7 linked regions of the Canis lupus familiaris genome follow. The protein of the gene in region 2 interacts with the protein of the main gene of each other region in a pairwise test. Links are inferred from orthologs where the notes say so. Each region holds a gene or a part of one and is shown on either strand. Other genes may lie near its edges.

What was found.
Region 1: the proteins of MORN4 (region 2) and BEND3 interact in binary tests that used the Homo sapiens proteins (3 or more experiments, as listed by UniProt). The two-hybrid records come from large-scale screens. The link is inferred for Canis lupus familiaris from reciprocal best matches to the Homo sapiens genes MORN4 and BEND3.
Region 3: the proteins of MORN4 (region 2) and HMMR interact in binary tests that used the Homo sapiens proteins (3 or more experiments, as listed by UniProt). The two-hybrid records come from large-scale screens. The link is inferred for Canis lupus familiaris from reciprocal best matches to the Homo sapiens genes MORN4 and HMMR.
Region 4: the proteins of MORN4 (region 2) and SSX2IP interact in binary tests that used the Homo sapiens proteins (3 or more experiments, as listed by UniProt). The two-hybrid records come from large-scale screens. The link is inferred for Canis lupus familiaris from reciprocal best matches to the Homo sapiens genes MORN4 and SSX2IP.
Region 5: the proteins of MORN4 (region 2) and RANBP3 interact in a two-hybrid assay, tested with the Homo sapiens proteins (2 studies listed by BioGRID). The two-hybrid records come from large-scale screens. The link is inferred for Canis lupus familiaris from reciprocal best matches to the Homo sapiens genes MORN4 and RANBP3.
Region 6: the proteins of MORN4 (region 2) and SEPTIN6 interact in binary tests that used the Homo sapiens proteins (3 or more experiments, as listed by UniProt). The two-hybrid records come from large-scale screens. The link is inferred for Canis lupus familiaris from reciprocal best matches to the Homo sapiens genes MORN4 and SEPTIN6.
Region 7: the proteins of MORN4 (region 2) and NUTM1 interact in binary tests that used the Homo sapiens proteins (3 or more experiments, as listed by UniProt). The two-hybrid records come from large-scale screens. The link is inferred for Canis lupus familiaris from reciprocal best matches to the Homo sapiens genes MORN4 and NUTM1.

What each region holds. Positions count from the first base shown.
Region 1 is NC_049233.1:64,642,989-64,646,925, reverse strand, and holds part of BEND3 (BEN domain-containing protein 3), read left to right. Parts: intron 1-2,309; 5' UTR 2,310-2,320; coding exon 2,321-2,357; intron 2,358-2,859; coding exon 2,860-3,062; intron 3,063-3,937. UniProt on the Homo sapiens protein: Transcriptional repressor which associates with the NoRC (nucleolar remodeling complex) complex and plays a key role in repressing rDNA transcription.
Region 2 is NC_049249.1:11,068,880-11,073,271, forward strand, and holds the start of MORN4 (MORN repeat-containing protein 4), read right to left. Parts: upstream 3,201-4,392; 5' UTR 3,034-3,200; intron 3,008-3,033; exon of another isoform or gene 2,989-3,007; intron 1,890-2,988; exon of another isoform or gene 1,797-1,889; intron 1-1,796. UniProt on the Homo sapiens protein: Plays a role in promoting axonal degeneration following neuronal injury by toxic insult or trauma.
Region 3 is NC_049225.1:48,676,240-48,680,694, forward strand, and holds the start of HMMR (hyaluronan mediated motility receptor), read right to left. Parts: upstream 2,976-4,455; 5' UTR 2,818-2,975; coding exon 2,772-2,817; intron 1-2,771. Other genes in the region: NUDCD2 (nudC domain-containing protein 2), read left to right, coding at 3,364-3,657. UniProt on the Homo sapiens protein: Receptor for hyaluronic acid (HA). Involved in cell motility. When hyaluronan binds to HMMR, the phosphorylation of a number of proteins, including PTK2/FAK1 occurs.
Region 4 is NC_049227.1:63,688,471-63,692,835, forward strand, and holds the start of SSX2IP (afadin- and alpha-actinin-binding protein), read left to right. Parts: upstream 1-1,222; 5' UTR 1,223-1,311; intron 1,312-4,365. UniProt on the Homo sapiens protein: Belongs to an adhesion system, which plays a role in the organization of homotypic, interneuronal and heterotypic cell-cell adherens junctions (AJs).
Region 5 is NC_049241.1:54,561,001-54,564,937, reverse strand, and holds part of RANBP3 (ran-binding protein 3), read right to left. Parts: intron 3,384-3,937; coding exon 3,280-3,383; intron 2,130-3,279; coding exon 2,010-2,129; intron 102-2,009; coding exon 1-101. UniProt on the Homo sapiens protein: Acts as a cofactor for XPO1/CRM1-mediated nuclear export, perhaps as export complex scaffolding protein. Bound to XPO1/CRM1, stabilizes the XPO1/CRM1-cargo interaction. In the absence of Ran-bound GTP prevents binding of XPO1/CRM1 to the nuclear pore complex.
Region 6 is NC_049260.1:92,334,771-92,338,707, forward strand, and holds part of SEPTIN6 (septin-6), read right to left. Parts: intron 3,874-3,937; coding exon 3,741-3,873; intron 2,399-3,740; coding exon 2,208-2,398; intron 1-2,207. UniProt on the Homo sapiens protein: Filament-forming cytoskeletal GTPase. Required for normal organization of the actin cytoskeleton. Involved in cytokinesis. May play a role in HCV RNA replication.
Region 7 is NC_049251.1:1,034,312-1,039,005, reverse strand, and holds the start of NUTM1 (NUT family member 1), read left to right. Parts: upstream 1-1,549; 5' UTR 1,550-1,658; coding exon 1,659-1,746; intron 1,747-3,245; coding exon 3,246-3,341; intron 3,342-4,694. Other genes in the region: NOP10 (H/ACA ribonucleoprotein complex subunit 3), read right to left, coding at 621-761, 1,039-1,092. UniProt on the Homo sapiens protein: Plays a role in the regulation of proliferation. Regulates TERT expression by modulating SP1 binding to TERT promoter binding sites.

The sequences.
Region 1 (3,937 bases), on a different chromosome or scaffold from region 2:
GTGTTGCGTGGTGTGGGTTGGAGAATACCCTTCCTGCCACCCCCGCAGCCCCAGCCCAGCCCCAGCTCCATGCTGCTCGCTGGGAAAGCGCAGTGGGGTAGATAAAATACTAGATGGCCAGGCTGGCCTTGCTCAGCACTGAGGTTCTTGTGCTGTGGTTTTTTCATCGACACCTGTGTTCCTCCAGGATTTGCTTGTCCTTTTAATGCTGTCTGCTTAGCTGAGTCTTTGTGGTTTCTTTCACCTTGACCCTTTCTTTCCCCCACATAAGCCGTCCGCCTTCTCCTCCCTTTCCCACCACTTCTCCCCAGAGAGTAATTTGTTTTGTACGCCGAACCCTGTCTGAGAAGCCGCACTCGGTCCTGCCCGTCTGCTCTGCTGCGTCTCCCCTCTGCTCTTGATTTCAGGGAGTGGGTTCTGGGCCGTGTGGCAGGGTTTCCAAGGGCGGTTGGCAGGCAGGCGAGGCCCTAAGTGCATTCCCTTGGGAAGCCTCCTGTCTGGGCTGCGGGTCCGGACACTTGAACTTCTCCCTGGCATTGGCCACCTTCCTGTCTGCAGACTACACTTTGCCTACCTGCCAGTGCCCCCCCCCTCATACCCCACCCCTGCCCTGGGGGAAGATGTCAAGTTTTTTTCCTTGAATTTAATGGAAATTGTATTTGCTAAGATTCACTGTTGGTAAAATAGCTCTCAGACCTTTGAATCTGACTTACTGTTTTCTCTCAACATCATCTTGTGTGTTACGTTTTTCAGATAGCAGATAATTTGGTAAACAGGAATTATTTTCAGTGTAATCGCACTTTCAAATAAATCTTATATTTTCTTGTGCCTCCGAAAATTAGTCCTGTAGCGATGCCTGTTATAAAGTCATTGTGACACTCTGAGGATAGCACGTCGCATCATAAGCACTATATGTGTGTTGCTGTTAGTGAATTTTGAAGTTGTTATTGCGTGCATAGATCACCTAGACTCGGTCACTGTCTCTTGCACCCCACCCCCTCATTGATCCATCTAGAACAAGGGACCGCACACCATCTTTTGGGTATTTGGTAAATAGTTTACTGGACTTTGTAGATAGCATCCCTCTTCCTTCTAGAAATTTCTTAAAAGATACTTCTTAGTCCTGCTCTCCTCTGATGCTTAAGCAAAATGGGAACTTAGTATCTGTAGGCAGCTTAATCAGTCGTGGGAACCGCAACTCAATGGCAATAGTGCCGGCTGTCCGTGTTTTCCAACGTCACTACCTCATTTACTCCTTATACTATTTATGGATGCTGTTATGTAATATGGGGAATCTCAGAGACTTAATGCCACTTGTGATCATGGTGTCCGTTCCATTCTGTCTGGGGCAGTGGGAGTGAGAGTCAGGGCTGCCTCTGCACTGGACCCTGGAGCCCCTACAGTGCCCCTCGCTCTCTTGTGGCGCCCCTGCCCCTTTCCTCTCTCATTCCCTCATCGGTAAGAAGAAGGGTTTGGACCAGATTATGTGGAGCTCGAGAGTTTTAAAAACCCACACTGACTCTTCTTGTTGCTTTGGAAGGAAGGGCTAGACCAGTACCATCCAATAAAAATAGAATGTAAGCCACTTACGTAATTTTAAAATCACCAGTAGCTACATTACAAGAAAAGGTGAAATTAATTTTAATAATAAAGTTTTATTTAGCCCAATAAATCTGACATTGTTTCAACATATAATCAGCATAAAAAAAGATTATCTTACTTTTTTTTGTTTGTTCTGCTACATCTTTGAAATCCAGAGTGTACTTTTATACTTCCAGCACATCTTCATTTGGGCTGGCCACACTTCCAATCCTCAGTAGCCATGTGACTGTTGGCTGCCATCTGGGGCGGCGTGGGTCTTTCTGGAACACCTGGAGTCTCATGACCCGCTCGTGTCCAGAGGAGCCTCGGCCTACATCCTCAGCCAGCCTTTTCATTCTGTGGCTGGAATTTAGAAAGCAGGGACCCACAGGAGATCACCCGAACTTGGGTCTTTTGTAAGACTTGATTTTCTCAAATAACGTTCCCCCCTCGGTCTGAAAGTGACTCTGTTGATGCTTTAAGACGCGTTCTGCGTGAAGTTTCGAGAAGTCCCCCCAGAGGGTGTTCGGGAGGCCTGGCTGCTTCTGAGCGACTGCAGGCAAACACTGAGAGGATGCAGTTTTCCATGATGTGAGGGAACAGTATCAGCTTAACCTTCCATTACCCAGAGCCAGGGTTGGGAGGGGAAGGGAATTTCTTATGGGTATGGAAAATTAAGAAATAAATCAAGCAATAAATCAAGACTTTGTCTTTGTCTTTTCATTTAGTGGAATAGAAGATGAACTCAACTGAATTCAGTGAAGATGTAGAAGAAGGTAAAAAAAAAAGCTTCTTTTTAAAAAGTAATTTTAATTTAATATTTTTTATTAGGTCATACACGATATGGTTAAAAAATATAAAAAGTTACGGAGTGAAAAATCAATAGAAAGCCTCTTCTCACGCTTGCTTCCCATCCCCCTCTGCCCGTACTTACCTGCTGTAAATGTCTTATGTATCTTTCCAGAGTTACTTTTTTTAAAGTATCATTTAAAAGATAGTATTTGTTTCTTTCTCTCCATCTCCTGTCTTTCCCCCAAAAAAGACCTTAAAACCAGTTTTGACCAAAAAGTTCTTGCAGGGTCGTTTTACTGTCTAGCACTAACACGGTCAGATAAACATCGCTAGGTTGGAAAGTGCAGTTGTAATGTGACTAGACTCTATTTTCTGAGTGATAGTGTCACAGGGCAGCCCGCAAGTACCCCCCGCTCCGGGAACCCTGCTAATCTCCGAGCGGCCCAGTGGTCTTTCCCACTGAGCCCTATTTCTTCTCTGCCACAGTTCTAAAAAATAACACTGTGAAAGTGGAGACAGAGGCCGAAGATGCTGCCCTGGACTGCTCAGTGAGTTCCAGGTCTTCCGAGAAGCACCCTCTGGACAGCGTCTTCACTGCCCTCCAGGATTCCAGCAAGCGAAAGCAGCCGGGTGGCGATGGCCAGCCTGACTCTGTCCCCAGCGTGAAGAGGCGGCGGCTGATTCCCGAGGTGAGGGCCCAGCCCCTTCCGCCGTTTGCTTGGGCTCTGACCCTCAGATGCGCTCTCTCTCTCTCTCTCTCTACTTGTGGGCATCTAGGCGACTGCTAAACCCTTGGGCACGAGAAAGCTTTCATTTCAGCTGTCCCATCCTTGGCTTAAATTTCTAGAAGGTGTCTTTTCTAGCTAGAATTCTTATATATGTCTGGATTCATTATGGGACTAGGGGAGTCTGCACAGTGCAACCTGCTTTTGAGTTCTTTGTTTTGCTTTGCTCCACTTGCTAGGAAGGACTGTTAAGAAAGGCCTACTGCATTTTACACAGTACACACTGTACACAGATTCCTGGAAAAGTTGAGGGTTGGGAGGTCTTTTCCTGAATCAAGCCCATCTTTTATATTAGGAGAACTTGTTCAGTGAATCTTTTTGTAAACAGAATTCTTTTTTTTTTCTTTAAAGATTTTATTTATTTATTCATGAGAAACAGAGAGAGAGAGAGAGAGGCAGAGACACAGGCAGAGGAAGAAGCAGGCTGCATGCATGGAGCCCCAGGTCTCCAGGATCACGCCCCGGACTGAAGGCGGTGCTAAACCGCTGAGCCACCCGGGCTGCCCAGCAGAATTCTTTTGTAACATACCTGTTACTCCCTAGCCTATACTTTTATGTATGAATTTACTTTATTTTTCTCATCACCTGCTGGTTACATTGAACTTGACTAAATTTCTTTTTTAAAAAAGAAAACGATTTATTTATTTGAGAGAGAGAGCATGTGCGCTTGCATGCACGAGCAGGAAGGATAGAGGAAAGGGGAGAGAGAATCCTAAGCTGAGCATGGAGCCTCATGCAGGTCCCGATCTCATGAGCCTGAGCTGAAACCGGAAGTTGGA
Region 2 (4,392 bases):
AAAAACTTGAAGACTATCTCTAGACAAAGTACTAGCCAGCCTCTCAAACTATAAACGTAGCCACCCTTTTGGCATGCTATGAGCTCTGAGGGAATATAACCTAAATTTTTTAAAGATGCCAATGAAACTGAAAAGATCTTCCTCTAATTACCAACTGTGGCATATTGTATTTTCCAAAGACATTTGCATTAGTATCCCCTGTATTACGTGTTCTAGAATTTGACCTTGCCACTGCTCCATCAAAAGGGGGACTCTAACTCCTCTTCTTTGAATCTGCGCAGGCTTGTGATTGCTTCAACCAATAGAACATGGTGGAAGAGATGGCATGTTCTGAGGTCAGGCCAGAAAAGGTGATGCATCTTCCCTCTTGCCCACTGGTACACTTGCACTTGGGAGACCTGAGCCACCCTAGAAGAAGTCTATCCTCTGAGGTTGCCATGCTGTGCGGAAGCTGAGCCACAAAGAGCCACGTGTTGGTGCTCCAGTTGGCAGTTCTCATCCTTGAATCAGCCCAGCCTAGGCACCAGCTGTGGCAAAGGAGCCTTCAGATGATTCTAGCTCCTAGCCACTGTGTGGGCATCCCATCTAAAGTATCATGCAGCAGAGTGTAGTCATCTCCATGATGCCCTCTACAAATTCCTGACTCACAAAATTTGCAAACATCATAATGTTGTTTTAAGTTAAGGTTGGGGTAATATGTTATATGCCTATAGTAACTGGAACATCATCTCTACACCTAACCCTGCCACCATCCTCTCTCATTTGTTTTTCAAAAGGATGTTCCCATTCCTTTTTTTATCTAGGGAGACAGAGAAAAGTCCCTTCAACGGCTGCTGGTCAAAATGATGTCCATTCCCAAGAACACAATCGGAAATGCTAACTAAAAGGATACACATGGGGCAGCCCTGGTGGCACAGCGGTTTAGCGCCGCCTGCAGCCCAGGGCGTGATCCTGGAGACCCTGGATTGAGTCCCACCTCAGGCTCTTTGCATGGAGCCTGCTTCTCCCTCTGCCTGTGTCTCTGCCTCTCTCTCTCTCTGCATCTCTATGAATAAATAAATAAATAATCTTTAAAAATGTTTAAAAAAATAAATAAAAGGATACACATGGACTCTGTGGGTCTCAGGCCATTGGTGAACACATTGGACTAGAAACTTCTACCTATGTCCAAATAATTGATACCGTCACAGCCTGGGACAGTGTTGGGATGTTCATTTACGACTTCTATAATTAGCCATGCTATGTAATAGTCAGCTACAAAGCCAATGACCCCAAAAGAAATCATGCTCATTGAGATAAATTAGTTTAATATGGTATAGCCAGTGTTGATGAAGTTTAGGCTTCAGCTATATATATGGAATCAAGTCACAAAACCAAAAGAGAATCATGCTTCTAAGCAGATACCCACCCTTTCTGCTCTTTTGATAGATAGGTTGCAAAGGATCAATCCAAACATTTATCTAAAAGAAAATGACTATTTTGTTCGTGAAATAAGTATACTATTTGTCTGCACAAAGAGAACTGAACATCCCAGTTCTCTTTATTTTCTCCTGACCCAGACATTTCCAAATAGAACTTGGAGACAGTAATGTTAACTTTTGTTTCAATTCCATTTGTCTTTTTTTTTCAGAGTTTAGAAATCAAACTTGTTAAAAAATATTTATGCATTCACAGGATTTTGTGTCCAAATTCAGAGGATTAAAAACAACAACAACAACAACAAAGCTAACATAAAGAGGAACAGATTTTCACTTTAAGAATATTGTTTTGAGGCAGCCAGCTTTTCCCACATATACCTTTACATTGTTCCTCCAAAGCCTCCCCAGAGTATGACCTTCTTGTCAAAGTTCTCTTAATTACAAAGAAAGCAGTCTTAGGCTTTTAGAATCCTAAAGAGAAGAAAAGGAAGACTTTGATGAACAAAAATTAGACTTAGAACCTAAGAAACCTAGAAGAAAAGTCACACATTCTTTTTAAAAAAATATTTTTTTTTTTAGCTTGGAATAACTGCTTTTCTTATAACACTACAAGCCTTTTTACTGTAAATCTTCCTTGAACTCGAAAAGTTTTTTTTAAAAAAAGTATTGCTACTAGATATAGGTCTTTTTTGTTTATTTTATTTAAATTCAATTAATTAACATCTAATGTATTACTGGTTTCAGAGGCAGAGGTCAGTGATTCATCAGTCTTATATAGATAAGGGTCTTACTTAGGAAGACTGTGGGACAATTAGATTGGAGAAAGTGGGAAGAAAATTCTGACACCAGAAAAAAGATTAAAAATTTACAAAGGAGGAGCGGCTGGGTGGCTCAGTGGTTGAGCGTCTGCCTTCGGCTCAGGTCGTGATCTCGGGGTCCTGGAATCGAGTCCCGCAAGGGGATCCCCGCAGGGAGCCTTCTTCTCCCTCTGCCTATGTCTCTGTGTCTCTGTCTCTCATGAATTAAAAAAAAAAAAAAATTACAAAAGACTTGAGGGTGATGGGGACTGCCATGATATTATCCTATTTCATGAAAAAGGAAATGCCCGGACGGGGTTCTAATAAAGTCGAGTTACTCCTCCGGATACCTAAGCAGTTTGGAGATACGACCCAGCAGGGGTGCCACCACCCACTAATTGAGGCATCAGGTTCATGGTGTGGGAGTGTGAGGGGCGGGCCCAGGCCAAACAAAGCCCGAGACCCAACTAACAGCATTTCCTCCCATCCCGTTCTCGCATCCCAACACTGATCCTGCTCTCCGCCCGAGCTCTGCTCCAGCGCCCGGCCAGGTGTCTGCTCACGCGGGTCTGCCATCCGCGCGGGACGCAGCCCCCAGCCACCCGCTAGCCAGGCCGGGTACGGCGGGCTCTCCCCGGCCTCGGCCCCAGCTGCAGAGACCCGAGGCCCGGGGGCCGCACCCCACCGGCCCCGCCCTCTGGTCAGCGCATCCTGGACGGAGTCACGATCCCCAGTCATCTTGGGACGGGGACCTGGTCCTCAGTCTTCCTCACCGACCGCACTCTCCGGGCGCCCTCCCTCCTGCGCTGCCGGCCAACCTGAGCTCCGCCTTTCGGGATGACGGTCACGCCCCGACGCGGGGCTCCAGCGGCCGCGACCACAGCTCCGCCGGGCTCGCCGCGGCCACCAGCCTCTCCGCCACCTCCACCAGCGCCTGCCCCACTTGACGCCGCCATCCCTGGCGGCCGCACCGGGCGCAATTCCCGCTGCCCATTGGCTGTTACCCCGGCAACCGGGAGCAACGCCACTCCCTATTGGCCCAGCGCGGACCCTGCGCCATCTTTGTGCGGGGCGGAGTGCGTCCAGAGTTCCGCCCACACCCGAAGAGGGGTGGGGCTGGACCCCCGCTCCCACCTGGGCCACCTGACGGAGACTTGGGGTCTCGCCACCCAGACGCAGCCTAGCCGAAATGTCAGCAAAAAACAAACCAAACCCGGGTCCGAAGGAACAGTAACCACCCACTTAAGGGGCTCGGATCCTGCGCGGACCTTCAGAGTTGGCTCCTCCCTGGAGTTTAAGGACAGAACCCAAATCTGGCTTTTGAGGTTCAGCTTTGTCAATTGCAACATGCCGGACCAGGCAACTGGGGTTTAATGAGCGTCAGGACTGTGAGATCAGGACGCTTCTGCATCCACTTATTGTAAGGATTTGAGTTGTTGTCGTTACTCAGATCCTTTGTACTTAAAGTGTCAAGATTGGAGCAAATTCTCCAAATACAGCGCACGCCAATCCTTTTACCCATATGTTTATTTACTGACCAATGTGAATGCAGCTACAAAAGACGTGATCGCTGCCCCTGTGGAACTTACTTGCCTAGATGTGGAGAAGATTCATGCACTTAGAAAAATTCGAGATTATATTTAATTATTAAAAGAAGGCAAGTGCTCTCTGAATTGGGCACTTCCTCATTTGTGAAATAGAAAATGAAAATAATAGTGATAAAGACTCCTTAGGACTTGTATGAGAATACAGTGTAAAATGCTCAGAACTGTGTCTGTGGCGTTGTAATTGCTTGAAAAACAATCGTTTTAGATTGTTTTAAAAGACTTGGATTCTAGGTCATCCTACATCTCTCATGGGTCATATTTGTCAAAGTTCTCTGAGGCTTTTGGATCTGGAGTTTTGTCTTCTTTGGTGCTGCAGAACAACCATATTGTTTTTACTGCTCAAGATTACATTTTAATTTTATATTGGAAGATTCTCCTTTTCGTGTAAAATTTTCCAAGACCAGATTATATATGTAAAATAACCAATGGTATTTACCTTTTTAAATCATAAGCTAAATTAAATGACAACTATTTTCACCATAAAAAAAAAAGAATTGGATTCTGTGTTTTCAAACCTCATATCTGCTTGAAGTCTGTGTGTGACTTCAAGCAAGTTATTAAGCTCTCCAG
Region 3 (4,455 bases), on a different chromosome or scaffold from region 2:
GTTATTCTTTGCTCTCTGCTTTTAATTATTATTATTTAAAGGTAAACTCTAGGCCTAACATGGGGGTTGACCTCACAATCCTGAGATCAAGAGTCACATGTTCTACCAACCAAGCCAGACAGGCACTTAGTTCTCTGCTTTTAGGAATGCTTCTATGGAAAAGCATGAGAAGCACCAGTTTAGACTTGTCAGAGTGGCCAGAAAATAAAATGATGTTGAATTCTTATGTTCTGGTTCATGACTATGTGTACACTCTGAAAAGGAAATATGGGCAAGCAAAAGATGGGATGGTGGACAGTGACTGAGCAGCATCATGAGTTGAGAACAATTAAAACCATACTTAACAAAAACTTCCCTAAACAATCAAACTTGATTGTTAGATTTAGGATTTAGATTCAAGAACTAGGTAGAAATCCAGCCTGTATTAATCTATTAACTCTTTGTGAGAGTGTAGTTAGTACATGTTATTTTCATGCTCCAGATCTTTTCCTTACGAACACTTAAATGTACTATATCACACATACATATGACTTGTTAGAAATCTGGGGAGACGGAACATCAGAAGAATGGAATGAGATGTCCTGGGAGTTATCGCAAGTTTTCTGCAACTTCTTTCTTGATCAACAATGACTGGTAGCTAACAGGTAGTTAATAATTTTAAACAAACAAAACAGTCTATGCATTTCATTAAACGCTTCAAACTTTTGGATCTTTTTAAAATAGTTTTTTAAGGATTTTATTTATTTGAGAGATAGACTGAGCGAGAGCACAAGCAGAATGGAGGTGCAGAGGGAGAAGCAGACTGCTTACTTAGCAGGTAGCCTAATGCGGGGTTTGATCCCGGGACACCGAGGTCATGACCTGAGCTGAAGGCAGATGCTTAGTTGACTGAGCTACCTATCAGATTTCTTTATTTCCTATTTCTTCTACCCAGAATGGACAGTCCATCTTCCATTTTGCCTGACTAATTCTTACTCAGCCTTTTCCAGTTTTCTCTGAGTCCTCAAATTAGGTTGAAAACCTCTCTTTGTAGTAGCTTGTGAGTAGTGTTCTTATCAGAGAACCTGTCAGTTTTGTAATTATCCATATTCCATGTTAGACAAAACTGCTTGTGGTTAGGTCTCTCTAGATCATGTTCATAACCCCAGTATTTAGCTCAGGGTTGAGTTTGACAGTGCGGTGAAGAAAACATAGAAAGTCACTGGGAATGTGGGAATGGGGATAGAGTTTTATAATTCCTCAATCAGGGTTCAAATCCAGCTTTAAATGCTAACCAATAGACATTACTATGTGCCAAGTACTTTTTAGTCAGAAGATGGTAAGAACATTATACTCTCTCCTTTTCTAATCTAGCTTTAAGACCCCTGGCAATTTATTTTTATTTGAGGCTAATTTTCCTTATGAAACAGAAATTAAAAAAAGTATCCACCTCATAGCTGTTGGGATTACTGGAGTAATAGGAGAAATCACTACAGTGTCACTCGAGCATCAAATAAAGTAATAATTATTACTTCTGAAATTGTGAGTTGGTAAAGTCAGTTTAATCTACTATAAAGAAAACAGAATTCTCCTTAAAAGACATACTGCTGAGAGAATTTAGAGAAGATTCTTTGAATATCCAGGAAACAGTATATTCCCGATCTTTCAATTAAGAAAATAAGCTTGTAAAAAAAAAAAAAAAAAAAAAAAAGGAAGAAGCTTGTGCTGACCCATTTGCTCACTTGGCCTTCCTTTGTGAGCAGAGTGATTCTTATTTCTATTTGCATGTTGGCTGACAAGTTAAAGATGCCAACAAGTGCCTTTTATAAAGAGTATATTAAAATGAATAAATCATGGGCTTTGATGTTCAGCCCTACCAATTACTGGCTGCTCAGAAGTTACAAAACCCCTCTGTTTCCTCATATGTAAAACGAGGACAATATCAATCCTTTCTCACTTGGAAAGAGTTAACCAGGTAGAACAGAAAAGACCTTAGCACAGTCCCTGCATACAGTTTGCATCCACTGAATGATGAGTGTGCCTCACTAACCATATCTGCGTCTTCCTGGTTAGTGTGCTTATGCATCACAGCGACTAAGTTCACAGGATGGGTTCACGAAGGCCTGATTTTATGTCCCAGTTCTGCTAACTTGGTTGTGTAACACTGAGCAAATCTATGTCTCAATCTTTTTATCAATAAAATAATAATAGGATTACCTCTCAGGGATGTTGGGTAATTAAAAAAGAATAATCAATGTAAATACTTAATACGGTGATTGGGGTTCTACGTGTCATTACTTCATTATGTTTTCAGTAAGTATGCTACTACCATAATTTTACCCATAAATTGCCTTTACCAATTATCCTTCTTTTATTCCTGAATGGAATATCCAAAAGAAATTCACAAGTTCATACGAAAAACTTGGTCAATTTTTTTTTTTTTTTAATCAGTGGGGCCTTCCGGACTTGACCATCAAATAGCTACCAATAGTTTCCTTATCCCCACTTCCTTCTCTCTGCCTTAGTTTCCCCACAGCACTCGTTCATTGGCTGTGTTCTCCAGCTGAATGTAGTGAACTCGATGGGGCAGAGACTTCGCTTCATTCACTGCTCTACCCTTATCTGAATGGTGCTAGGGAAGTAAATGCTTAGTATAGATTCTAGGAAAATAATCAATTGAATGAGACCCATCGCAGCCCTAAAATCTCCGATTAGCCTCCGAGGAAGGGACTCGAGAGCGGCAAGGTGCGTGACAACATATCCCGACCCCCAACTCCTTTCCCCGTACGCACCGGAAGGGTCATTGAATCGTTTCAGGGGCGCCTTAGGAAAAGACATGTTGATGACCAGCTCCACAAACCGAAGGTCACTAGCTCTCCTCCGCAACTCCTGGCTGCTTATTTCGGCCTAATCGCTCCAAATTCAAACCTCCCGGCTTACCCACGGCCCACCTCTAACGTCAGCAGATTTGAAAACCAAAGTTTTGGGCGCACCAATCCAGGACGCGAACGACTAAAGAGCATGCGCACCTGGCCTGGTCGCATCCAATCAGGGCTCCTGTGAGTTTAGGTCACCAGCCAATAGGAGACTATTATTGCCCAACCCGTGTCCAATCGTTCCTGGCGTTACTCAATTGTAACTTACACGCTCGCCTCCTTTGCGCAAGCGCATTTCACGTCTGAGAAGTTGGCAGGCCCGCTTCTGGCGTCATAAAGGCGGCAGGGCAGTGAGTTCTAGTTTCGCTAGTTCCAACTTTCTCCCACCGTCCCTTGGGTGTCAGCTTCCCCGGATTTCGGTTCTTTCAACCTGGGCACTGCCAGCGTCGTAAACGGCCACTGGAAAGGAGAAAGGAGCTCGCGGAGACCTCGGCTGACGTCCCTGCGCATGTGCAGTGACCTGAGCGGAGAGTCGGGGCGTGGCCTGAGCGCGGGGAGCTCGCGCGTGCGCTCGTCTCGCTCCGTGCGGCTGCAGCTGGAAGGCTCCCGGAGTATGTCGGCCCCGTTTGAGGAGCGCAGTGGGGTGGTTCCGTGCGGGACGCCGTGGGGCCAGTGGTACCAGACCTTGGAGGAGGTGTTTATTGAAGTTCAGGTGCCGCCTGGCACTCGCGCCCAGGACATCCAGTGCGGCCTGCAGAGCCGGCATGTGGCGCTGGCCGTGGGTGGTCGCGAGATCCTCAAGGTAGCGGCAGGTCGGGGCTTGCGCTCACTTCCCTCCCGGCCTCTAAGCCCCCGAGTCCGCAGGCTCATGGTTTCCACGGAAGGACTGCTGGAAGGCCGAGTGAATGGCTCTTTGAGCCGAAAGAGCGATAGATAGCACTGGCCTGGTTTGGGTCTGGTCCGTGTCCCCACCCAAGGCTAGTCCCGAGTTGACGGAGAGATGTGAGGAGCCCGGTGTCCTGGCTTTCTCTCTAAACCGAAGAAGTTGCTGCTTTTGTTCCCCTGCGGGTCTTCACCTAGATGTTTAAAGGGACCAATACTCGTTGTACATATATTTTCTTCGAGGCGCTGATTTTAAGTGCTGAGAGGTCAGGGATGACCAAGACCGAAGTTCCCTGCGCTCAGGTGATGCTCTTGCAGGGAGGCATACTAAAGCGAAGTTAGTAAATGCTTAAGCAGTTAGGGGACAGTAGAGGACACAGTACAGGGTAAGGATATCGGGAGGAGGATTCAGAGGTGGCGTCAGGTGATTTATTTTTTTTTTTTTCCACAAAACTAGAAACATTCTGCCTGTTTGTGGAGCGGTTAAGCAGGTAGTCGAGAGGCGTTTTGTGCCCATCATGCCCGTCGGATCCTTGGTAAACTTTATAGGTAAATTCAGTGACGTGCAAGTTAGATTTCTTTTCCGGATCCGATGCTCAAGGTGTTAGAGGACAGTGTAATGAAGTGGTGACGGGAGATTGCTTGCGTAGGATACCTGGCTACGCCCTTTTTCTAATTTCGTAACCTTGGGCAAGAGGTTATTCGGGGTCTCTACGCC
Region 4 (4,365 bases), on a different chromosome or scaffold from region 2:
TTCTGGGGAGGGATGAAGGAGCTCTTTATAAAAAGTATATTCTCTTGTGCATATACTCTTGTCACAGCTGAAAAGGATGGAAAGAAGTTGGCATGATTATTCCCATTTTGTAGGTGAGGACTCTGAGGCTCCAAGAGGACTACTAACTTATCTGCTCAGGATCATGCAGATTTGCGGGGGGGGTGGGGGGGGTCTGACTCTGCAAAATGCAAAGCTACTGATTCCAAATTGCTGTTCTTTCCACCAAACTGAACTGTGTTCATGTCGTTCTGCTGGATGAACTACTCACCGAGATGGCTATCCATTTATAATCACTTCGGATCCCAGGGCTACCATAACGGAGCTCATGAAGCAGCCTTACAAATGTGAGTCTCACATGCCAGGTTGTTGAAAGAACTGTGCAGCTTTTTGGCACCCCCACCAAGCCCTGAAGTAAGGGTAACCTGAGTGGTATCCACCGTCGTCCTAGTGGCAACCACATCTATCTTGTAAAGAGAAGTAGCAAAGACTCAGGAGGCCACTCAAAAAACAACTTTGGTTGGACCTGTATTTCCAAGTAAGAGAGAAAATAATCATACAAGAAAGCAGTTTACATGATGAGCAAAGCATCTTCCAGGCAACACATAGCCTCAAAAGTGTTCTTTCCTCCACACTAAGCCCCGAGGGTCTGAGAGTGCTCCCCAACGCAGCAGCATGGGGCATTATATCTTAAGAGGTTAGGGACGCGTTTGGACTGAGACTAGACCCAAGCTCAAGCCTCAGCTCTGCCATGTCCTAAGTATTTGAGCTGAGGCAAAATAGCTCATCCTTCAGCCTCTGTTTCATCATCTATAAAATGGGAGAATAATTGTACCTGTGGCAAAGGACTGTCGTGACAGTTAGATGCGCCGATGCATACAGGCAGCACGCTAGGTATGCAAAGTGCTTGCTTACAGACATAGTAAGCGATTCATAAAATCAGTTTTTAGTGCTCTTTGCCAGAGTCTTCCTTCTACTGAGCTCCTGCTGTTCCCCCTGAAATGCTCTCTATTAGGGACTCTGTTCAGAGGGCAGCTCATCAGCAGACCTTCCCTGGCCACCGCACTCAGAGCAGCTCGTATCCTCCCTCCTTGCTTTAGGCTTTCCATGGCACAGATCACTCCCACATGCCATATCATATATTCGTATGTTTACTTGTTTATTGTCTGTTTCCATTAGAACGCCAGCCCCATGATGATGGCACCTGTATTGGGTTCACTCCTGAAGTCTCAGTGCCTAGAGCAGGGTCTGCCGTGTGGAGGGGACCAAGACCTATGTACGTGATGAAGGCAGGTGAGTAGAACACATCTCTTCTGAATAGATTGTGATTCCATACTGTGGTGCAACCTAAAACCAGATGCAGGAGCAGTTGTATATCTGGGACAAGCCTCCTGCAGAGTGCCTGAGAAGGCCTGAGCCACTGAGGTGCTGAGCTGTGCTCTAGTGAGCCCTGCAGCCCTGGAGTGTAAAGCAATCACCGTGCCAGGCTGCAGGGGATCGGAACCGGCTCAGCCATTTTCTTTGCTCCGAAAGTTATAGCCTGAAGTGACTGCCAGGGGAGCTCCCTTCCCTGGTATGCTTCTCTTCCTCTTCTTCCTCCTCCTCCTCCTCCTCCTCCTCCTCCTCCTCCTCCTCCTCCTCCTCCATGCCCTCCCTGGGGATTCATGACTGGGAGTGCAACTTCCTCAGGGACAAAAAAGCATGTCTTAAAAGTAACCTGTGGCAATGGATAGTTCACTGCTTTTAAACTCACAAATTATTTTTTCACTGCAGTACACAGCTCAGATCATGATTTTCACTAAGTAAAAGCAAAAATGGGTTTTGCTCTTGGCTCTCCCTGGTTGCCGCTGAGGTGCAGCCACCTGTTTTCCTGATGCTAGGGCCCCAGGGATGGCACCTAGTGGGGAGAGGTAAGGGGGCCACGTGGACAAAGAGCTGCCTCCTTAATGCTGCTGCCGCCTGGGGAAGGCTGGAGTAATGAGGGTCAGTGGGCATTAAACATTCCGGCATTGCCTCTCCAAGGTTTCACGTTTCCCATGAAGGTCCAGGTAGAGAGTGCATTGGACGTGATAAGGCACCTCAGAACTACTAGTGGAGATTGATTTTTTGAGACTCCTCAAAAGGGCATGGAGTTTTTCCTAAAGTTCAAGGCACTTTCAGAGATTGTTGATAAGCAGATGTGTGCTTCCCAAAGCCTGCATAGAGCAGAGGCATCAAGCTAGAGGAAAGAATTAGATAAAATAACAAGTAGCAAAAAGGAGAGCATGCTTCATGAACTCTAGCTTGATCTTACTAGCAGATTCTAGAAGTTGCCTTTGGTCCTTATCTGTGAATTGTTGTCTATGACGTAGACACTGTTTTTCCGTGTTAATATATATGCTAATGTAACTATATACAATAACTCCTGGATAGGGCACGTAAATGAATGCAGTCATTAAGAACTATATTACCTCGGGCACCTGGGTGATGTAGTTGTTAAGGGTCCCACTTTTCATTTCGGCTCAGGTTGTGATCTTAGGGTTGTGGGATCAAGCCCTCTGTTGGGTTCCATACTCAGCGTGGAGTCTGCTTGAGACTCTCTCTTCCTCTGCCTCTGTCCTCCCCACTGTTCTCTCTCTTTCTCTAAAATAAATAAATAAATCTTTTTTTTTTTTTTTTAATGAACTAGATTACCCCAAATCATGCATTTGGGTGCAGGTAAAACCCAAATTATCATGATGATGTAAGGTAGGCCCAGAAATGTGCAGTACAAGTGTTTTTCCTTAGCCATTTCATGGAAAATCACAAGTCTGTGGCCCACGGGACAAATCTAGCTGGATGTCCTGGGTGATGTTCAGGTCTCTGGCTGTGGATGGGCTGCTGCTTCTTTTTCTTCTATTGATTTATTGTAGCCCCTAACTTGGAGTGTTTCTTAAATAAACATAGCTTTTATTGAAGAAAACATCTATCTGGGATTTCCTGGGCAATTGTGCCAGAAGAGTGGGCTTTTTCTGGATGACTATACTCTCTTATGTATGGACAAATACAGCTATGGACAAGTATAGCTCCCACCATGGAAAATTAGGATACTGGAACTATTGTCCTAAGCCCTGGAGCTTGAAGAGCCCGATTCATGCCTCAGATGCTGGTCCTCACTAGACTGGGTAGGCAGACATCTGTGACCACCAGGACTGAAGCCTAGCAAGCAGATGGAAGAGTGTATGGAAGATCTACACATTATGACTTTCATTCCCAAACAACTGCTGGTGGGGGGAAGCTTTTCTTCCCACAGAGGAAATAGCAGCTCCTACTTTGTGCCCCCACTGAATCCAATTGTTACTTCTGACATGTCACCTGCAACATATTATACTGATTTCCACCACCCCTGCCACCTATACTGCCCTCCATCTAATGTCTTCTTGAGGACCCAAGGGTTCCCTGAGCCTGGCACAGTGCCTGGAACATAGTGCTCAATAAAAGGTGGTTCACTTATTTGACTGAGGACCCTTCTCCCTGAAGGAGGCAGGGAGTATTTATATGCACAGGGATAGCCCCTGCCTTACAGTAAAATACAGACAAATGCATGATGGAAGGCCAGGTGTGTAAAGAACTCTGACATGGTAGCTTAGATCCAGAATCCTTACAGAAATCTCTTTATCCAACCCCAAGGGTCAGGATGGCTCAAGTAGCTGGGATTCAGTTGAGCCAGAATGATGGAGTGTTTGTTCCTCTTCTGCATGGTCCTCCATAGAATCCTTGGAGACAGAAACTTAGTTCTGCGTCTCAGCCCATTGATAGCAAGTTCACCTTTGACAGTGATTTAAAATCCCTCAAGACTCAGATTATGTCCAGCTGCTAACCCTGTGGCAATGCTCCTGGTGTGGAAAGAAGTGCACCCAGTGTTGCAGGTTCGTGGCTTCCTGGGGCTTCCTTGATTAAGGAATGTATGCTAATGGTGGCAAAGAAAGGAATAGTCTTGCAGAAGAAAGACAGAGTGCCTTGGAGCCTGAGTAGCAACCAAGTTTCTTTTATTATGGGACTTCTTGTCCGGTCAGCTTCAGGACCTGTGAAGGCTGTTACTTTGTGAGATCAGAGGCTCTGCATTTGAACTAAGGAGGATCCTAGGAGGAGGAGAAGCCTGGCCCAGAGGCACTGAGTGCAAGGCATAGTGCTCCAAAAACCAGGCCTTTCCTAACCTGAAGCCAGGATCCAGAGCCTCTTCTCTAATGGCTCTGAGACTTACATTTGGTTACTCCTCCCTGTGGAATTGCCTGCCTGCAAAGAGAAGTGTGTGTGTTGGGAGGAATCCCATCTACACTGTGAGCCAGACTCAGGCCTTCCCTGGAGACGGTTCATGGCCCACAGAGT
Region 5 (3,937 bases), on a different chromosome or scaffold from region 2:
GAGCTGATATACTGAAGGAAATAGTTGGTCGCAGTTGGCGTTTCTGAACTGGGATGTCCGGCATTCTCCATGTCAGCTACTTCAGTGTTCTCATTTGTTAACTGGGAAACAGAGAGGCGACACTTACTGCCCAGACAACGCCTGTTCGGGACCTCAACAGCTCAGCCTGTCTGCATACCCCAGGGCCTATGGCACAGCTCGTGTGTGTGTGTGCATGTGCACGTGCGTACACCGGGGGGGGGGCACGCGCTGTAATCAACTTTGCCATTTCTGCTTTTAATGGTTAAGATAGAAAAAGAGTTTGTAAGGCATCAGGGAACTTTTTCTACCTTGTTTAAAAAAATAAATCCCTCAATTGACATCTTGTTCCCCTTTTCACCAATGCTTGTAATGAGAGGCCACAGAATGCTTCCAAATCTGGCATTTTAAGGGGTTTATTATAAATATAATAAAAACATCGTTTCTTGAGGGCTTTTTTTTAATGCTTGCTAACTGCTGTGCCAGCTCTGTTGAATCTATCATCGAATGTGATACTCCCAGGAACCCTGAGAGGTATTATCAACCTCGACCTACTGAGTGAGAAAGCAGGGGTTCAGGGTGCCAAGAAATCGCCCCCATTGAGAAGCTGGCATGTAACTGTGATACTACAGATCACGTGAGCCCTGAGCCTCCGTAAGACAGGGCCTCAGCCCCAATTTCAAGGCAGCCATCCCCCTGGACTCTAGGAACAGACTTGACCTGGCGGTTTAGGCCAGGCCCCTGCCCCCTAGCATAGGTGGATCTCAAGGCCCTTCCTTCTCCGGCTTCCTCCTCCCTGGAGTGAGCAGCCTCCAAGGGACTCATTACTTTGGCTAAAGTCACGCAACAGCAATGCTTACTTTTCATCCCTAGGGATTTGTGTTTCTGTTGGACAGCGAACACCAAAGGAGAAGGCAGATGGCACAACCTGATGTTTTCTACGTGCTGGAGAGACTTTTTTATTCCTTTATTTCAGGATTTCTCCTTCTCAGCATCACTGACATTGGGGCTGGATCTTTCTCTGTGGGGAAGCCGCCCTGGACACCGTGGGGTATTGGGCAGCATCCCCTGCTCCCACCCACTGGATGGCAGTGGTACCTACACCCTAGCCGTGACAACCACAAACGTCCCCAGACACAGCCACTCATGTTGTCTCTCAGGCTTCTAAAGGAACTCCTGCCAGATGAGCTGCTGGAAACGGCACAGAGGGACACTCTATCCTGGTGGCTGGAAAGGTAGTGTTGCCTAATTCTGGCTTCTCAGAGTGACAGCACACAGGGTCCCGAGCCCAGAGCCCCTGCCAGATGCTCTCTACCCCTGACTCAAAGTCCCCAGACTAGACCAATAGGCCTTGGGGGCAGCCAGGAGGGGACAGATGCTATTGCTTAGTATGGGACAGAATAGTTATTTTTCTATCTGCCCTACCTTAAAAAAAATAAGGTAATGATTCTCAATTAGGGGTGACTTGGTCCCAAAGGGAATGCTCAGCCTCATGAGGGGACACTTTGGGTTGCCGCGTCAGGGGGTGGGGGCATACTCCTGGCACCCGGAGGGGGAGGGCCAGGGATGCTGCCTGGTACCCTAGGATACCCAGCCCTCCAACAGCTGACAATGAACCTTGTCTAAACGTTGCTTTGTGCCAAGACAGAGCAGCTCCCAAGTTAGGCAATGACAAGCTCTCCAGTGACGTCGAAAGCATCGGATGGTGCTGTCCCCTTTGCTACGAAAATGTTGGTTTCCAAGGAGAGGCACGCTCGGTTTCGTCCCATCCCCGGCGACTGGGAGAACAAGGGAGGCCTCCAGGGAGCACGCCGGGAGCTGAGCAGTGCAGCAGGGAGGCCATGCCAGCAGTCAGGGACAAGCCTGCGGCTATGCCACCTCCACCTCCCGCCCCCTGAAGGGAGAAGCGGAGGTCCTGTGGTTGAACTGGAGGAGGCAGAAGAGACCGACCCCGGAGTGCGAGCACCCATCCGGGCCTCTGATCCACACACCTTGACTCGGTCCCTCAGGTTCTGCCCGAACACAAACGCCTGCTGCGCAACTTGCTCTCTTTTCTCACAGTTCTCCTCCTCACAAGTATCGCTAGACTCATTTTTCTGGGGCTCTTTCTCCTAGTTTGAAACAAAAACAAGACAACAACTGAAAAGAAGTGACAGGTTAGCCCCAAGAAGCAAGGTGGGCCATCTCTCGCAGTTCCGTCTGCTCAAGGGGTCTCCTCTGGCTCAGGTCCCCGGGGGGCTGCTGCCGCCCGGGTGTGGCCTGTCCTTGACTCCCCGGGGACGCCGGAGGTGGGCGGGCCAGGCAGCTTCCCAGACTCCCTCCAGCTCACAGCCCTGCTGCGCTAGCCGCCCTAGCTATCCAAGTCTCCAAGCAGCAGCAGGTTGCAAAGATGGCTCCTAATTTTAATTCTGCTAATTGTGGTCTGAAGGAGCGGGGGTTGCTCAGGGATGTTTTAAAAATGAATTGTAGACGATCGATTTCACCATTTGCTCTCCAGCAACTATGGGGGGTGTGTGGGGGAGGTGGAGGGGCCAGAACTCAGGCAGCAGCTCAGCTGCCAAAACAGCCCAGTCGAAATAAACACACACATGCAATCTGGCTTTGTGAATGGAAGCCTTGGTGTGGTGCTGCAACTTGCATTTCAGATTCACCTCTGCCACCCGCAAATGCAGGCTCTTTGGTACATGCTCCTCATTTTTCAGTTGCCGGGCAATACCACTAGAAAACACATGCTCTTGGCCTATAGAAACCCAGAACCCCAGACTTTGCTGTGTCTGCCTATCAATCAATCAATCAATCAATCAATCAATCAATGTTCTGAGCTGATTTCTTCAGCTAGAATGGGCCCACCTATGCGAACCCCCGTGTTGTTCAGGTGTGGAAACAGGGAGGGGAGACAGCTTTCCATGTAAAAGGGCACACTATCTCATCAATGAAAGCCATTCCTGTGGCTCCAAGGACCCCCGCCCCCCCAGAGGCCAGGCCCAGAGGCCAGCTGGCCACTTGTACAGGGAGGTGCTGGGTCTGGCCTCTGGAACCCAGACAGAACTCTGGAACTGCGGACAGACCATCCTTGGCATTCTAGCAACTATGGACATCAGCTGCAGTTGCACATGCACACCACTGAGCAAATACAGAAAGCCTTAACACAGGCCTACCCAGGCACTGCTCTGAGCAGGTAACTTGTCTACACACTCAGTAAAGCTCCGAGAAGTTTCAGGTGCTCCCTGCCCAGCACAGAAACACCTCAAGTGCTCGCACCTCGTCAGAGGGACTTCTCCGTGCAGGGTTGTCAGGTGATGTTGCTGTCATGGCCCCCGTGCAGTCTGCTGGGATACTGACTCCGTTGGTGCCGCTGCTTGGGACTGCAGGGACAAGAAGATGGGGTGTGTGTGTGTGAAACCTCAAGTGCTCCCTTCCACCATTTAGACCAACAGTGTAATTTCTCCTCTTTAAAGAAAACGATCTAATGTCCCTACTGAAAATTACATTCTTACATTGAAAAACCCAACCTCAGAACTAAAACCTCACAGAGGTGAGAATATCTTATTGCTTACTCCACAAAGAACTGTATGAATTTTAGTGTACTCAGAAATGATACTGTGAAGATAAAAGAGAAAAGTAATATATATTGAAGGAATGATTATGAGTTTTATAAAACGTTTTACTCATAACATCTTTATTCTATGCACTTTTCCCTATAAATAGCTGAGATCACATGATGTGTGCAGCTTTAAATTTGGCTGATTGGTTAGCCTCGCTTATAAAAAGCTTTCCTGTTGAAACTCTTCAGAAATATTAACTATTTCCCCCATGTGGGATGTTGGATTGCTTCTGATGAATTTTTGAATTACAGGGAGAGGCCAAGAGAAAGACAAGAAAAGCTCATTAAGAAACTAAAAGGTCAACTGAACACCAT
Region 6 (3,937 bases), on a different chromosome or scaffold from region 2:
AAAACAGTAAGAGCTGATGAAGATGGAGTGAGCTTGAGGAGAAATCCAATATTATGAGTTGACGCAAACAACGAAGGTTAGCGATCAAAGGAAACGAGGAAGAGAGGGTGGGAGAGAGGGACGGTGGGCTGGTAGGGACCCCTAAAACACCGGTACTCTCTTAATCTCTTTAAGGGCAGCCAAAGGAAGTTCTGAATGTGTGACTCCATTAGATCCAACCACCATCTTTTAAGAGTCAGTGCCCACTACCCCCACTTCTGCCCTCAAAACCTATCCCCGCCATCATCACCATGGGCCCTGAGTGGCACAGATGTAAAGAAAGGTTTTCCAGAAGTTAGCCAACTTTTCATGGAATTACAGAAGCAGCCCAGGCCTGGGGCCATTTATATATCTGGAAGGAAGGAAGAGGACAGTCTATTTTGTCAGAACCTGGTCACTAATATGAGGTGCCACATGCCAGCAAGGCCTTCACCCATCTCAGAGTTGGGAAAGGTGCTGTCACCAATCCCAAATATTCCTGGAGACTGGAGAGACATGTCTCCCTATGTAGGGTCTTCTGCCTGGAGTGGGAGAGGGGAGATCAGTTCATGTGAGACAACTAAGAGAGAGCCTGGTCTGGGAGGAACTTCCACTGAACATCTAAGTAGGGAATATTTATAGTTTAGTGTCAGTGGGGTTCAAACAAAGGAATCTCCTAATTCCTGCAAGCAGGCTGTGAGGCTGCCCCAGGGATTGAGTTAATAAATACCACAGGCCAAGAAGGCAACAGGTTAGAACGAGGAGACAAATTTAGGTTTTTCTGATCTTAAAAATAGGAACCCTTTCCTGCAGGTGCAACTAACACACAAGGCCCAATCAGTTAATATACAGTATGTCCAAAGAGGCTTTTTTTTCTGACTAGTTAAACTTTATCCATCAGGTAACACCAAATCAAGGTCATGAGTGAGTGAATCTGACACAGAGTGTGGTGACTCGGTAACAAAAATCTGTGGACTAGTGGGTGAACGTGTTCAAATTACACTTTTGAATAAATGGATCGCAAAATCGAGTGCCTTCAAATATTAACTGTCGTACTGTTGTACAGAAGTCACTGTCTCATTCCTAAGTGATCAGCCAGGCCCAGAGGAAAGGAGGATGTTTCCCTCCTTCTGGCAGATATCCAGCAGCTGAGCCAGGGACAGGTTGCTGAGAACAAAAGGTATCGACCACGGGCACTTTTTGGATCCTCAGGCCCTTTGGGTAAGGACATGGCCCAACACTCCATGTGAGGGCCCCCCAAGTCTCGCAGCACAAGCAACTCCAGCATAAGGGACCCCGGCATAGTTTCCTGGCGCTGCCCAGGTCCCACCAGAAATCCTTTCCTCTCCTCTGGTTCCGGGACGATGGATGGGGAGCTCCAGCCAGCAAAGCCTGCAGTCAGCTCAGGGTTATGGACCCACATGTAAGCAGGAGCCCCTGCTCTCCTGCCTTACCACACACCAGGGGAGATAGAGGGACAGACTGTGCCATCACTGCCCAGCTTAAGGATGGGGCACGTGGAGTCTACTACCATCTGGGGGCTCCCCAGTAAGCTCTCAGCACCTCAGGCCAGGAGCAATGAAGCAGCCAAGAGAGAGGGATGGCATAGGGTGGGAGACCTGGACTGGGCTGCAGCTAAGTGAGAAAATGGGGCTGGGGGGCTTCAGGCATGGGGAGGTGAACCCCTCAAACACAGGACAAACAAGGCGGCCTGTGAGCCAGATCAGCACCAACCTCTTGGGGAGGAAGAGGGTGCCCAGAGGCTTCCGCTTGAGGTGCCCTCTCTCCTCTACCCTCTGGGGGGGAGGGTCCCTCTTTTCATTCACCTCTTTCTTACAACACTACAGATTTCATGGTTTCCTCCTTGCTTGCTCCCCTCCCACATTCCACATTCCATTTGCCTGTCTTCTATCCCTCCCTCTCCTCCTACCTAGAGCTTACAGGGCTTTCCCAAAAGCAAAGCAGAGGGGCTGTGCCCCTGGGGACTACAACCCTCCCCTATTCTCACCTCCCCCAACTCAGGGGACACAAAGACCAGTTACAGGGACCGAAATGCATTTGTCAGTCTACAGGTCACCTCTGGCCACTACCCCTCAGCATGAGGCCTCCACCGGAGTCTCCAGGCCCTGCACTGAGGGGATGAGCAGGAGTAGGAAGGAGTCACAGGCCCAGAGCAGCCTACCACTTACTTTTTCTTTTCTTTGTCCCTTTTCAGAGTCTGTGAGCCTCCAGCCTGCGAGCCCTGGGACTGGAGCAGCTCAGCTGCTGTCTTTCTCTGTTTGAAGGCGTTCACTTCATCGTCCAGGGATTTCTTCTTATCCTCCAGCTTCTTCTTCTCGTCCTGGTGTAGTTTCTTCAGGCGGTCAAACTTCTCATGCAGCTGGCAGGGGAGCACAGGGAGTCTGAGCAGTGTCCCCTGGGAACAGCTCCTTGAGGAGCCAAGCCCAGGGTTAAGTGGGGACCGGCAGGGCTGCCATCCTGCAGGACTGGGGGACCTGAGGAGACATTTCTGCCAGGGACTGCCCCGATGGCACCAAGGCACCATGTTCTGGGGAAGTCCCTTCTCCTGTCACTTCACCTCCACATTTCTGCTCTTGAATGTAGTCACAGAACTATTATTAATGAATAGTAATTAATAATTAGCATCAAGAAATATTCTGTGATTCTCTGTGTTTTATGAGGAAACAGGAGGTCAGAGAAGTTAAGGAATTTGCCCAAGGTTAATCCATTCTTTAGAGGATTATATAGCGAGATCGCCCAATGTGAGTGGGGCCCCTGCCTTTCCTTACCCCCTCTGGTCAAGGAGGATCACCATGGGTTGCAGAGAAAACCTCAGCAATGCCAAAGCTGGTCAAAGGAAATACTTGTCCTCAGACATGGAAGGAGATAAAAGAGTTTTATAAAATGGAATGAGGGCAGAGACCTCAGCTTTGACCAAGGGGAGACTCAGCTAGCCCTGAATAGAACCAGACACCCAAAGGAGAACAGTACAAATACTGAGTATTTCTTTTGAGGATTCTGGAGAGAATTTAGGATTCCGTAGCACTCAAAGCGTACCATGTAGGAGGTCAGGTCTCCAGGTCTTACAGGTATTTGGGACTTAGTAAGGGGTGGTGGATGACAGGCCTGCTGTCTAGACCAGCTTTTTACTAGTCCCTTGGGGTACGGTGGTGGTCAGTTGCTCTAACCTAGTTTCTGTCTATTGGCTTTTCATTCATTTATCTTTGAGATCCTCTCACCTCTCCTCCAAACGTACTGGGTGGCATTTTCTTTTGGAAAGGGAAACTGAAAAAAAAAAATCCGATATCCATGCCACGGACTCTGGTCTTGACTCTTGAGCAGTATTGCCCAACAGAACTTTCTACGGTGATGAAAATGTTCTATATCTGTGCTGTCCAATAGGACACACAGTAGTTGCAGGACAACTTAGCATGTGGCTAATGGGACTGGGGGACTGAGTTTTACATTTTATTTAATTTAAATTCATTTAAATATAAGTAGCATGGCTACCATTTGGGAGAGGGTGGCTCTAGAGAATAAAGTAACCGCCTGGCCTTGGGGAATGAGGGATGAAGAAGACACAGATCTTGCTGCGGCCTTCCCTTGGTACCAGCCAAGGCAGGGCTGCAGATGCCTTGCCCCATTCCTGCCTGGAAGCTGCGGGGCTCTGCCCAAGCTCAGCCCCGTCTTCCTGCCTGTTGGACAGTCAGGGTCATATTTACCTCTTTCTCTGCCTCTTTAAGTTCAGCTTCTTTCTCTTTGACTCTCTGGACGAACATCTGTCTCATCTCCTCTTCTTTTTTCTGGAGCTCCCCTAGGAACTCATTCCTTTTGGCCTCATATGTCTCCTGTAAGCTGCAAATATGGTCAGGTTAATTCCCCTGCCTTTATTTATTTATTTATTTTCCCCTGCCTTTAG
Region 7 (4,694 bases), on a different chromosome or scaffold from region 2:
CTGGGTAAACGACTTTCTTAAAATTATGCAAAGGGGAAAATGCTGGTCTCCTGACTTCACTGCATTCCCTCTACAGTATAGCTGCTATTATTTTTCAAGCAACTCCTCCAGTTGAGTCAAATGTCATTTCAAGGGGCAAGAAATTACTTAAGTGACACAGGGATATTTTTCAGGGAATGCTTACACTTGCAGGAGTCTCAACCATCCATCCCATTCCCAACACCCTGTTGCACACAGCACTACTGCTACAGCAGCGACTCGAGTTTTTCTCCCAAGTGGTCTTCTTGTACCCCTTGGGTCCTCTTCCCTCTCATCTTCTTTTTTTTGTTTGTTTGTTTTTGTTTTTAAGCCCCTACCTTTCCCCCCACAACATACAAAACAAAAACTCGTTCAAATCATTTTAATAACCTCGATCTGATCCAAGATGTGAAACGATTCTGATTAGTTCCCTTAAGAGGGATGCTACCATGATTGCTTCACAGGAGCGGGCTCGAAGGCAACGAGGACACCGGATTCCCAAGCGCAAGGGTGCCGAGGAGCCTTCACGGCTCACAGTTTGAAGAGGCTGGTTTCGGAAAGTCCCTGAGGAGTAGCAGGAGGGACACGAGAGCTAAGGGGCCTCAGAGCACGGGGCGCGGCTGCTGGGTCATCAGCACCTTGAAGCGTTTCTTGACGGTGATTCGGTGACGGGAGTACTTGTCATCTGGGGAGAAGCGAGCGGGATGCGCTGAACAGGTCTGCTGTCCCATAGGGTCAAGCTTCTGCCCGAAGAAAAAAGAAAATTTCAGTACAGGAATGGCGGGAAAACCCGCCCGAGAGCGTCGACAGGGAGGCGGAGGTAGGGGACGGGAGGAAGCTGCGCAGAGACGGGTGAACCAGAGGCAGGGGCCGGGCGCCCACACCGACAGCCGCACCCTCCTTCCAGCGCTCGAGGTTTCGGGCTTCCCAGGCCCCTCACCCCCGGCAACCGGGGGCGTCTCGCCGCTCCTCCAGCCTGCTGGTCCACAGGACTATTTACCACCTGCTTTCTCGTCTCACCTTAAGCGTATAGACCCGGTCTCCCTGCTCGTTGAGGTAATACTGGAGAAACATGACCACGCGGCACACGCGACTCCCAACGCCGTCCGGCTCCCGCGGAGAGGGTGTCACGTGTTCGTCAAAGTCCTTCCGGTAAGGCCGGTAGTCTCTCTCGAGGCATGCCGGGAAGTGTAGTCCATTCCGGCCTTTCTCCCGCTGACCAGGAGGGGGCGAAGGAGTGCGGGATTTGGCCCAGTTGCAACCCAGTTGCAACCTTGCAGGCGTCGGCTTCCAGTTGCAATTTTGCGGGCGCTCTGAGACACGTGGAGTGTGCCCACTGTGTGCAAGACGCTGCTAGGAGCTAGAGGGGGGTAGGAATGAATATGGCTTGAACATCGATGCACAGAGTCCTGCCTCTACTCGCGATGCGCACCCATTTCACAGGCAGTGGGTTTCTGGGGCCTGTAGAAACAAAGGCTCCGGGATTCCGAGCCCCTTTATCTTAGGGTAGAAAGAAGAAAGTTTTCTTCCCTCCCCTCTTTTCCATCCGGTTCCCCCGTCCTATTTTAAAGTATTGGCGGTAAAGAGTGCATGATGGGTATTCAATATTAGGCACAGCGAAGAGGGCGTGAAGTTATTTTATGAAACTGGTGAAGTATATTTCAGTGGTCGAACCGAGATTTAAACTCAGGTCTCTTTGCCACAAATCCAGCGCTCTTTCTTATAGTGGTGAGTAACAATAATAGCATAATACGATGCACCTCCTAGGGTTATTTCGAATTTTTAAAAGAACGTAGAAATTCTCTTTATAGGACTCTGATTTCTTTAGGACAATGGGAGCCCAGTTATCATTACAAAGATTGTTGTTGCAGTGTTATTTACAATGGTAAAAGCATTGGAACATTTGTTAATTTTAATTTTGTTAATTTTGATTTTCTCGATTAATTTTATAACCGAGAAAAGCCTGAAAGGGTTTTTCTTTTCTTTCTTTCTTCCTTCCTTCCTTCCTTCCTTCTTTTCTTTTCTTTTCTTTTCTTTTTCTTTTTTTAGAATATAGTCTGTATTTATTTGTAGTTGCATAAAATATCTCTGTAAGGATTCACAGGAAACATATTATTGGTTTTCTCTGGAATAAAGAACTTGGTTCCAAAAAGAAAGAGGGAGGGAGAGAGAGAAGGAGAGAGAGAGATAGAGAGAAATCAGTTCCAGAGGAAAGAAGTGGGAAGGACACTTGCTGTATATTCCATTTTGCATAGTTTGACTTTAGAACCATGCTGATTTATTTCCCATTTCAAAAACTAAAATCATTTAACAGAACTTTTAAACAACAAAATAATTTAACAAAAAAAGACTTTTTGGTTTTGGAATTTCAGGCTGAATGGCAGTTTTGGATAGAGTGGTGCTTTTCAGCCAAGGGTAAGCTGAACCTTCTGTGGACTGCAGGGCTGATGGTCGTGGACTGTCAGGGACTGCAGGACAGCTTTGTAAGGACATGTGCCACAGCCAGATGCCCAGGGTTTCTTTTTTTTCTTTTTTTAATTCTTATTTATTTATGAGAGTCACACAGAGAGAGAGAGAGAGAGAGAGAGAGGCAGAGACACAGGCAGAGGGAGATGCAGGCTCCATGCACCGGAAGCCCAACGTGGGATTCGATCCCGGGTCTCCAGGATCACGCCCTGGGCCAAAGGCAGGCGCCAAACCACTGCACCACCCAGGGATCCCTGCCCAGGGTTTCTGAGATAATCCTAGTTTCAAACATTCCATTTATTTGATCCTTAGATACACAGACGATATGCTCTGAATTTGGTTTAGAAAATATAGGCAAAAAAAAAAAAAGAAAGAAAATATAGGCAATGTTGAATTTAGTTAAGGGTCTGCCACAACCTATTCATAGGAAGTCGGGTACAGAACTGGGTAGGATTGAAAGGCACAAAACTGTATATATTGGTGAAGAAACGTATAGGTAATCCAGATGTAAAGCTGTATTGTTGGGAATCAAAAAGAATTTATAAATTGCCCAAAAAAAACACAATGAACAATCAAGTTGCTCTAGTCTGGCTTGGGGGGCACTCCTGGTTACCACCTGCGTCCCAGAGCCCTTTGGAACCTCTCTACCTGTGCCCCCCTCCCCTCCCCCACTGCAGAATGCCTTGAGTCCTAGATTCTAATTCCATTCTGATCTGGTCTTTATCTTCCCTTCCTTGGATCCCTGTATCTACTGGGGTCAGGTTGCCCTCTGGGTCCTGGACCCGACTGTCTCATTCTGGAGGCTTCCGGACAGCCACAGTTAGTGTCCACACCTGAGAGGATGGCTTCGGATGGAGGTAAGTCTGCCAGCAGTGGGGAAGGTCCTGACGATCTGCTCATGTCCTTGGGGATTCAGATTTGACACTTTACCCAGGGACCAGCTTTTGGGGCTGACCTCGAGGGATGTAAGAGCGCTAGAGCCCTGCAAAGCCCTCTGTCTTGGGGAGGCTGGGGAAGGAGACTGTGCCATTACCATGGAGATTAGGGGATGAAGAGGGCCTCCCTGGAGGCAGATCGAAGCCCCTCAGAGGAAGGTGCTAGAGTGTAGGAAAGGAATGGCAGTTAGAAACTTGTTTCTTGGAAGAGGAATCTCTCCAACGTGTGTTTGTGTGGCAGGGGCAGGGCCGTGTGCGGCACAAGTACTGCAGGGAGGGTTCAAGGGGAAGGTCCAAATCCCCATTTCTTTGGGCAACTGGAGCCTGCTCTAGAATGATGCCCTGAGAGCACTGGGCTGGAGCCAGTCTCGATCTTGTCGAGTGGGGTGGGTGGAGATGTTAGCTGCAAAACTGTTCCCCGGGTCATCTGTTGCCTCATCTGTAGAGCAATGTCCTCCCAAAAGTGAGACTGGAAGGTACCAGATGGGCCTCTGCTCAGAGTCTCGTGGCTCCTTTTCACCCTGGTGATGGCTCTCTTGCAGTTGTGGGGCAGCTTCCCTTGCCCTCCCAGGCCTGGAGACCTAGATATCTCCAACCACAGTGAGAGCTGGGGCTTCCCTGAGATGCTCTTGGCTTTTCAGGCCTTTAGTCCTGTTTTGCATTGTGGAGAACTCCCAGGCTTCTGCTCTGTGATCAGGGTGATGAGTTGTCCCCTTCATGGTCAGGGAGTGGATGCTCAGTGTGGTTAGTTTGTCCGGGGAATGTTCTTTAGTAGAGGGGCAGAACACTTGTATGAAATTGGGCAAATCACTTGTAACATGGTGAAAAATCTCAAGATTCATGTCCTGAGGAATCACGTACACATCTTATGTATGTGCCCTTGGGTTCTTAGGCCAGAGTCCACGTGGGTCCCCAGCACACACTGTGGTTAGGACTTCACTGTCCCTCCTTCACAGTGGACCCTAAATTTCTGCTCTTAGGCGTCCGAGCAGAAGGACTGCAGACAGCCTGCATCACCAGACTGTAACATGTCCTGCAGCTGCTTAGAGCTCTGGAAACCTCCCTTCCTAGACCGCCCTCACAGCGCTTGTTTCCTGGTCCTTATCTCTAGTCATTCCTGGCTGTTGTGTGACAAAATTTCTGGAAACCAAACTTCTAATCCACCCACTCTGTCCAGGAAACAGTGCCTGTGTGAGCCGTGGCGGGGACCTCAGAGCCGTCAGGCGCGGGGCTAAGGTGGTTTGAACGTGTTTGGAGTGGGCGGGACGGGTCCCA